Linked DNA regions of Arabidopsis thaliana. The protein of the gene in region 2 interacts with the protein of the main gene of each other region in a pairwise test. Each region holds a gene or a part of one and is shown on either strand. Other genes may lie near its edges.

Evidence for each region. The genes of interacting proteins can lie anywhere in the genome.
Region 1: the proteins of AT3G24530 (region 2) and RLK902 interact in a protein complementation assay, tested with the Arabidopsis thaliana proteins (one large-scale study listed by BioGRID).

Annotation. Positions count from the first base shown.
Region 1 is NC_003074.8:6,104,330-6,109,254, reverse strand, and holds RLK902 (receptor-like kinase 902), read right to left. Parts: upstream 3,348-4,925; 5' UTR 3,164-3,347; coding exon 1,813-3,163; intron 1,418-1,812; coding exon 825-1,417; 3' UTR 518-824; downstream 1-517. Other genes in the region: AT3G17830 (Molecular chaperone Hsp40/DnaJ family protein), read right to left, coding at 4,752-4,925.
Region 2 is NC_003074.8:8,944,866-8,949,805, forward strand, and holds AT3G24530 (AAA-type ATPase family protein / ankyrin repeat family protein), read right to left. Parts: upstream 3,153-4,940; 5' UTR 2,922-3,152; coding exon 2,778-2,921; exon of another isoform or gene 2,532-2,777; coding exon 2,421-2,531; exon of another isoform or gene 2,344-2,420; coding exon 2,245-2,343; intron 2,158-2,244; coding exon 2,047-2,157; intron 1,957-2,046; coding exon 1,653-1,956; intron 1,569-1,652; coding exon 1,429-1,568; intron 1,350-1,428; coding exon 813-1,349; 3' UTR 520-812; downstream 1-519.

The DNA.
Region 1 (4,925 bases), 2.8 Mb from region 2:
ACGCAAACGCAGCCACCAGCGCGGTATTGGTACTTTTCCCATATTTCTATAATCACAAGGACATGAGAGTGGTGAGGTAGCGTTTTGCGTTTTGAGTTAGCAGCGGCAGCAATCGGTCTACCTCAGTAAAGATAAGAGAGCTCGCAACCTACTTAATCTTTAATAATTTTAAATACCATTTAAGACATAACCTCTCAACAATTTTAGATTTATTTAGTTGTCATCAACAAATTTGCCCACAACTTTATCTTGGACTTTTGGCGAACAAGTTCAAACAAGAAATAATCCAAAACATACCAACATGACGTCGTATGAGGTCTTCCCATGTCTACATTTGGATCCAGCCATGTAATCGTGTAACATGTGACTTGATATATCCACTTATACAAAAAGCTGTCATGCCATTGGATTGCCATAAGCAGGCGTAAATGTGAATGTATGATCATAAAGACATTACATTATCACCTGTCGTCTTACTGCAAGTTTCATGTCCGTTAGTCTATGTATTAATATGAATTTAAACTATACTATCTTCTTTTTTTGTCTGCATTGCTTACTATCATATCATAGAGACAAAAAGCTGAAAAACAATATTGAAAATAAAGTTAAAGTTAAAAGCACTAATAATTACAACCACCACGAAACTCCTCATCATCAGTGCCCACACATGAAAGAAACCAAAAAAAAAAAACCAAAATTAAAAACATCTAATTAACGACCCCAACTCTAATTCCCGCCATATTCTTAAAACTAAACACTGAAAACGTCGCCGCTTCAGATCATCGAACAGACTCATGTCTCAAGTCTCCTTTCATCTGATGGTCTTACCCCACCCGATCTGCACCCGATTGGCGCAACTCCTGGATCCTTCTCACCACCTCCACCATAACTGGCCGCTTGTCTGGGTGCTGCTCTGTACAGTCAATGCCCAGCTGCAGCATTTCCGCCATCTCTTCTTCCACCGAGACAACTGTCTCGATACTCATCAGCTCCGAGTCAAAAACCTCATTCCTCCACTCCTCTCTCGCCACTGAATGCACCCACCTCGCCAAATCCATTCCTTCCTCGTTCATCACCGAGTTAGACGGAGCTTTTCCGGTGAGCAACTCTAGCAACACCACACCAAAGCTGTACACGTCCGCTTTCTGTGAGACACGCCTCGGGTCAGTTACTTCTGGCGCACGGTACCCAGTGGCCCGGTTTGGGGTTGTGGATGAGGCGCTTACAAGCTGAGCCAGGCCGAAATCAGACACTCGTGCGTCATGGGAGTTTGTTAAGAGGATATTGGAGGACTTGACGTTTCCGTGAGAGCTCAGTGGGTCTTGTGAGTGAAGATAGTCTAAGCCACGAGCAGCTCCAAGGGCGATGCCTGATCTGACTTCCCAGTTCAATGGAGGCCGGCCTGCACCTTTGTTTCCTGTAACATAGCATGACATTAAGCTCAATACACAAAAAAAACTACTGTCTGAAAGTAGAACACAGGAGGTCTGGATTTTTCTTTGTTCAAAATACAATTCTAAAAGATCAATTATCACAGCTAGTCAAGGAATCCAAGGTTATCTACTGTCCCCACTAATTCATAGACGTCCTGTGTAAGCCATGTGAATGATAAAAACTCTTCACTGATCCTTGTCAATGTGATGCAGTACCAAACTAATCATTTCATGATAGAATCTTTGTCATTTCTTTCTTAACAGTAATGTATATTAACGAATCCATTACTAATTATGCCAAACTTAAGATTCAGCAGAGAACTATTAACAATAAAAATCAAATTTTTCGCTGAGAAAGAAAGAGAGGGGTAGTTCTCACCGTGTAAGAGAGCTGATAAGCTTCCCATAGGCATGAAGTCATAGACAAGCAGCTTCTCGTCTCCACTGTAATAGTACGCTCTCAAGGGCACCAAGTTCTCATGATCCATCGCCCCAACAACCTCAATCTTCTCCTTAAACTCTCTGTCCGCCATCGTTACATCCTTCAGTCTCTTCACAGCCACCAATGTCACCGCGTCAAGCACCGCTTTATAAGCTGTCCCGAACGTTCCTTTCCCCAGAACCTCCGCTGAAGCTCTCAACAGATCCTCAAGATCGAAGACCTTTGTCGCATTCCCAAAAAACACTAACTTCTTCATCCCTGAACTGTTCACTTCCACAGCTTTCACTGCAGACGGAGAGTACTCATTTACATAGCTCCTATTCTCCGGTGCTTCCACGGCCGCTTTCTCGCCAGGAATTTCAACTTCATGGTGCTTGATGGTTGCAAGGTCAATGGCCCTTGTTCTCTCGTTCCCCTTTTTCCTAAAGAGAACCATCAAAATCATAACAATCAGGGACAAACCAACCACACATCCAATCACTATTCCAGCTATAGCTCCACCAGAAAGCTTCTTCCTTTTCTTCTTCTCCTCACTTCCTTCAACAGTTCCGGGAATATTGCCAACAGAAATTGGCTGGCTTGGCACAGTTCCCTCATTAGAGCAGACAACAAGCGGTTTGCCGCAGAGAGAAGTTCCCACAAACGAATCAGAATCAAACTTCTGCAAACTCTTAGGTATAGATCCGTTCAACAAGTTATTAGAAACGTTGAACTGATCCAAAGACAAATCCAAGTCTAAAAGAGAGCCAGAGAGCTTGTTATTCTCCAGGTACAGAGTCTTAAGCCTAGTAAGGTTTTTAAACCCTGACGAGATCTCTCCACTAAATTCATTCTCAGCTAGATTCAACCTAACAAGGTTACTAAGACTAAACAAAACCTCCGGAATCTCACCGGAGAATCTGTTACCCTGCAGGTACAAACGCCGAAGATCGGAGCAGCTTCCGAGATCCAAAGGAAGAGAACCAGTAAGACCATTGAGACGGAGACTAAGCGTCCGGAGCTGAGTTAAATTACCAAAAATACCCTCCGGTATATGACCGGAGAGCGTTTCACCGGGAAGACGAAGAGCAGTAACACGACCACCGTCGCATAAGACGCCGGTCCAGTTGCATGGTGAGGTTTGCTTGACGTCCCAGAGTAATGTACGACCACCGACGGCGGAACGAAAAGAGAGAAGAGCGGATTTGTCGGCGGCGAGATCTCCGATTGACGGAAGAGGAAGAGAAAGGAGAAGAATCGAGAAGAATATGGAGAGATTGGACATTGACGGTGTGAAGAAGAGTCGCATTGTAAGAAACAAAGAGAGAAACCCTAGAAAAAAGCTCTCAGTGAAGAAGCTGTGTGTGTGGTTTACAGAGAAAGAGTGAAGCTAGTCAACACTCTTAACACTCTCTCTTTCTCTTTTTCTCCACTTTTTGTTTTTTTCGAGTTTTGAAATTTTTTCAAATTAAAATCTAAATGTGACAAAAACGACAATTTCTATACAACAGTGACGTATGTCTTTATATGCTTCGACAAAAATATTTGTATTTTTTTTTTTTTAATTTCTATTATTGGTTTTTATGTTTTAACTTATTGATATTATAGAATCTTATGTGAATCATTCGTACCACTAAGCTGTGTTGTCTTATCTAAATTCCAACTGCTAAAGATTATTAACTGGATTACAAAAACTTAGAGTTTAATAATCAATCGGATTAACAAGAAAATTAGCAAGTGGGTGTGTGTGTTTATGGAGAAATGGAATACAAAGGTTTTGATTATGAAATTCCCTGCATCTGAGTAAAGTGGAATCACTCTTCTCAAGATAACACTTAATTCTATGTATTTTTTTTTGTTTTGCTTCTTTAATAATAAAATTGATTTTTTCTTACTATAGTAGTATGATAATGCATGGTTGTAAAAGAAAAGAAAAAAATGAACATGGGTATGCAGAGAAAGGTAGGACCATAAACATGTAAAAAAGCCAACAACAATAATTTAACAGCATTCAAAGTAGGCTCTTTTATTTACAAGTAACGCATTCTCTGTTTTTTTATTGTCTCCACTCTCTGCATATCAACGGCATCAATCTAAAGGGTCCCATTAATCTTACTATCTTACCAATTTTTCTATCCATCGAATAAATTATTTCATGGTCCACAAAGGTAATATTATTGTGATTCATATTTTGGATAATTTACAATAAAAGATGAAAAAAGATTCACGACGGTTACATTGATATGTGGTTGGGCGTTACATTTTAGAAGAAAAGAGTAAAACTATATGAAGTGTAGTAATTTAATGGATCTATTTTCGATCGCACATGTGGATAAACAGTTTGGTAGTTGGAATATTGAGTTGTTTTTAAGCCATTTAACAAAAGGTATACTATTGAGTTGTGTTTTTAACTATCTAGCTGGCTTTACTATTGTTTTACTTTGGAAGATAAAGACGTTAGTCATCATAATGTAAATACTAAGTATAGTAGCTGTGTGTTGAGACCCACTAAGCAATAAAAGACTATACTAATAGATATGGGATTATGGGAAACCTTTTCTTGATTGCCTAAAAAGGTTCCTCTAATGAGAGAGGGACAAACAAAGTAAATAAGAGGACTGAATTGAGTTCAAAGCATAGTTCTGTCACGGTTTAAGCTGGTCTAGCATACATAAACATTTGTTCAAGTAATAACATTCCTTTCGTTGTATATCACAACTAGGCTCTTAACCATATATAAATGATAAAACATACATACAAGATCATATCTCTTCTGCGTGACAAACAATCTCTAGAAACTAGAATTGTATGACCGAGGGCCTTTTAAATCTTGTAAAAAGCTCTCTGTTACTTGAAATTAAACTTCTACCTGTGGGGTTTCAGGGTTTTTGACGAAATTAAGTTTCTTTCTTTTGTTTCAAGCGATTACCCTTCTTCTGTACCAATGCAACAGCCGAGGTTATAACGCACAGAGCCAAGACTGAAAAAGCAATTGAAGTCTCTGACACTTTCATTCTTCGTAATGGTAATGATGGGTTTAAGCTCATAGTCCCAAATTTCGTTCTTGAATC
Region 2 (4,940 bases):
GAGTTCGATTTTTCTTGTAAACAAAAACACAAGTCTGTTAGTTGGGGTTTGACCTAATTGGTTTACATGGTAATCAGAAATGCATGCGGCTTCACTACCCTTTGACATTAGTCGGAAAGCATTCCAAACTCGGAATAGTGACAATTCGAGGAAAAGTCCACTCCAAAACATTTTGGTACGTTTCCATCCGGACTAACCGGATCAACCGATAGAGTTTATCAAACAAGAAAAAAAACAATGGTTTTGTTAAACAAGAAGAGAAGGAAGTAAAGTTAATCATTTGATCGTCAAAATATGGCGTAAAGGATTGTATGCATTTTGGTTAACTTAAGATTTGGGATCTTGAATTGATCACTTTCAAACTCTTTCTGATAATAGATATCGAGACTATCCAGAAAAGATTTAAGGCTTGATCAAGTGCCAAAAAGGTTTTCGGTATCCAATATGATGGACCAAAATCTTGTATTTGAATATCGAATGTGTAGAAGGTTGACAAGTTTGGTTCGAATTCGAAGTTCGAACCAAACGCAACACTTTTACATGAAAATCGTTGGCACCATAAATAACACTACTATGAATTAAAAGAAATAGAAAGACATTTTACAAAAAAATATGAGAAAAGTGAAAAGACAAAATATCAATATAGTTTTATACAACAGAAATAGATTTGATCAAACAATGGAAGTTGAAACCAAAGCCTCTCCTCCTACAAGATCTTGAGGGGGACAAAAACATAAAGAATATATGATGTAAAGAATTGAATCAATACAATTTGTAATACTAACCAATTATTAGCCATCAGAAGTTTCTTTTCACTGCGAGAAAACTCGAAGCCCGGCCTCTAGATCCTCCAACTTGATTGTACAAATCTCTTCAGTGTCAACACACTCAAAGCTAAGTCGGAGATCAAGATTCTCCCTCGCGTTAACAAGTAACGTGTCCACCAATCCTCCATTCATCTCTTTCCTCTGCTTTTCCGTTGTTTCTGCCTCTATCAGTGACGCTATCTCCTGCAAAGTGCAGGACTCATGCAATCTGAAACCATAGAACAGAGTGTCCTCTCCTTGGTTGTTCATCTTGATGTGTAGTATCTGCGCCAGTTCCTTGGCACTGAAGTCGCTGAAATTGAAAAACTTTGTGACCCTTCTGCAAAACCCTTCGTTTGATGCGATCACACGCTTCATGGGCTCGCTGTATCCTGCAAATATCACCACAATTTTCCCTGTGTCCATGACTGACATGATTTCTTCCAGAGCTTCTAGACCGTAGTCCTTGTCGTCCGCCTTTTGCATCGGGATCAATCTGTATGCTTCATCCACAAACAGAATTCCTCCCTCAGCTTCTTGGATCTGTCCAGAAATTGAAAGTTTTAGATTCTTGAAACCAAACCCACAAGTAAAACCAGAAGATTATGAACAGTGTTTTCACCTTTCTCCTGGTCTTTGGTCCTGTATGGCCAACAAACTCACCCACCAAATCTGTACGCTGTACTTCTGTTACCTTATCAGTTGGTAAAATTCCAACCGTGTTAAGCAGCTTCCCGAGAACTCGAGCTACCATGGTTTTACCTGTGTTTTGGATCAACAAAAGCAGTCATGTATTGGTTTGATTTAAAGACAGAGATGTATAATCATAAACCATTATCCTTTCACCTGTTCCAGGGTTTCCAAGAAATGCCATATGCGGAGGTCTTCGGGTTCCAATATTTAGCCCAAGAGCCCTTCGCCTTTCATCTAAAAGCATTCCTTTCGCCCATTTCCTCAGTTGTGTCTTCAGCTCACTTAATCCAACAATATTTGATAACTCATCCTCAAGTAGTTCCATCTTGGCTTTTGTCTTACCACATTGCTCAAGCGCACTTCTTTTCCTCTGCTCTTGGAGAAACCACCGCAGTAATTCCCGTAACTTCTCACTGCCTTGCCCTTGAGGCAGATGGTCCAAAGGAGTCATCCCTTCCTGTAAATACAAACTCCCACAGCTATTACACAAACAATACCATAATTCCCTAAAACAAAAGAAACCAATAATCTCAGAGGTGGAACATACATTATCTTTTGCACTGCAATCTGCGTTATGATCAAGCAGTGTCTTAACAGTCGAGATCTCTTTAGCAGTAATTGAGTACCATACCGCAAGATGCAACGGTGTCATACCATTCTACATAAAAACCAAAACCAAATCAGTCCAAACTATCGTCATAGTTGTTACTTCCCACCTTATAATCAATCAAATAGAGGAAATTACGCTGGCTTTAGCTTCGATAAAAGCACCACTCTCAAGGAGTAGCTTTGCAGCTTCATTACAACCGTTCTTAGCTGCCATATGCAATGGAGTCTCACCATACTAAACAACATTGAAAACGATCAATGACAAATCAAAAGCTCAAGCAAAGAAGAAAACAGAAAGCAAACCAAACTCACAGTATTCATTGCTTCTAACTCAACTTTATCAGATCCAGTCCAAGCGAGAAGATACTTAACAATATCAACATTACCATTACCAGCAGAAACATGAAGTGGCGTATGATACATCTGCAATACTAATCAAAGTCAATACAACACACATTTCAATAAAGTTTGCTTTTTATAGATTCACATGCATATACAAAGCTTGAAGATCATGAATCCTGTCGAGATTCGAAATCAGACCCTATCTAAAAGTTCAAATTTTGCATCCAGATTCCAAAATTCAGCTACAATCTAAATCGACCCACCGAATCAAACACATCCCGGAATCAAAATGCATACATAAAGAAAGAGTCAAGATTTGGACATTACGACGGGATTGCGTTCATTGAGAAGAGAAGGATTGTCTTTAAGAAGTCTCTGTAAAGCAATAAGATCGCCGGAGAGAGCACAATCGTGAATTGTGGTGGGTCTAGCGGATCTCAGCCGCTGCCCTCCACCGTTTTGTCGGTTCATTTCTCTTCTTCTTCAATCCTCAACAACAACAAGAAGACGAAGAACTCTTTTCTTCCACCAAATCTAATCTCTTTTGGGAAAGATTCTCTCGAGAGGATTTTGCGGAGAATCAACACTATCGAAGAAATAGATTAGAGAATGAGAGTACCTCCGCGTCTTCCTCTTTCGTCACTAGTCTTTTCTTTGGCGTCTCTTCTTTCTTCATGGTATTTGAAAAGACTAATTTACCCCTACCTGACTTTTTATGTTTTTTTACTTTCCTGGCGTCTTCCTAAACCCAGCTAAGCTTTGGTTGCCCCATTATTTCATTGATTAACCTAATCATATAATCACTATTACAAATTACAATTATATTTCTCATTTCACTCTTAACTAACTTTTTTAAAATAAAAAATTATAGCTACGGCCGTAAAATACCTTATAGATTAAATGAGAAGTATTCTTAAAATTTCATTATCTTTTTTAAAACAAAATTATCATGTTGATGTATCATTTTTGGAGAAATTTTTAGTCTATTTAAATAATTATCTAATTTTTAGTAGACTATTTAAAAACTTGGCCATTAGTGTTATATATAAATAAATCAAACATATAGGAAAACGAAATTCAAATTTAATAAATCAAATTTTGAAGCAAATAAACTATTCATGATTGTTTGTTATTTAAATTAGAAAAAATACGTTGATTTATTAAATTTGAACAGTTTATTTGATTAGAATTTAAAAATATACTTTAATACTTCAGATTTTCTATAATAATACAATTGATTTGATGATTTGATTGAGGTAGCCAAATGTTACTGATCCATTCAGACACATATGCATACTACACATAATTAATTATTTTCTTTATTTTTTTATCTCTTTCTAGTTCAGAAATTTCAAATTAATAACTTTATTTTATACGAACTTTACTTAGTTTTATCTTTGTCGGTGGTCAACTACATCATTTGTTTTGTAATCTTTCATGAGTTTTCTTTTGATCAGTTTGAGCCATTATTGTCGATCATACTACAACAACTCATCTCTCTTACGAGTCACAGTAATGGATTGAACAATGTGAAGATCCTCTTAAAGCTTGCAAGTCCTCAGTTATTGATCGCTCTTATCTCCCATTTACCCATTGTGAAGCAGAGGGAGTATACGTTATTGTTTCATTCAATTCTTTGACATTATAGTGAATATTCTCTTCTTTTTGTAGTTGCCATTTGCTTCAGATTCTAATAGCCTCTCACAAACCAGATGTTGCGCCAATGTTGGTCCAAGAGATTTCCGGTTTTTTTCCCCATTTCGCCACACACAAGTATGCAAATTTTCTCGTAAGACCTGTTGTTGAATATGGAGCTGGTTCTACTGCCTCATTCGTATTGCGTAAGCTCTCTTGTGTTTTGGAAGCTTGATGGATGACTGCTATGGAAACTATGTCCTCCAATCTATCATCCGAAGGTACGTGATAAGCTCCGGAAGCTTATCTAAGATGAAAAGAACAGAAAGAAATGGAGGGAGAGAAGTATTGCACCTTTACGGTGAAGAAGAAGAGAGATAAGAGAGAAATTTAGATTGATATTGTTGTTGATCGTTTTCGATAGAAAAAATGTTTATCAGCTACACGGAGTACAAGCCAACACATCGCCACACATGCAGACTTTAAAAATGTCTCGTTAGCTACACGAAATATTGACATCACATACGAACATACACGACATCCTACTTTGACCAGAATCCGGCATTACCCAGTATTAACCGGTGTTGACCGATATTGACCAAAATTTGATAAGAAGAAGAAAAGTTTAAGTAGAAGACAATAAAAGGAAATTGGGCTTAACACTAAGCCTAAATCAAAGCCCCACTAAAGCCCACTCATCTTCAGTTTTGGTTTGTATCAGTATGCTGCCTTTGCTCCGAGATATCAGATAGAGAGGCTGAACTTGAGGCTAATGTTTGGGATAGGGAAGTAACTAAAACTTTGGAGTACATTCGTAATACCAATGTTTGAGGTATGAGTTACTGAACATCGTAG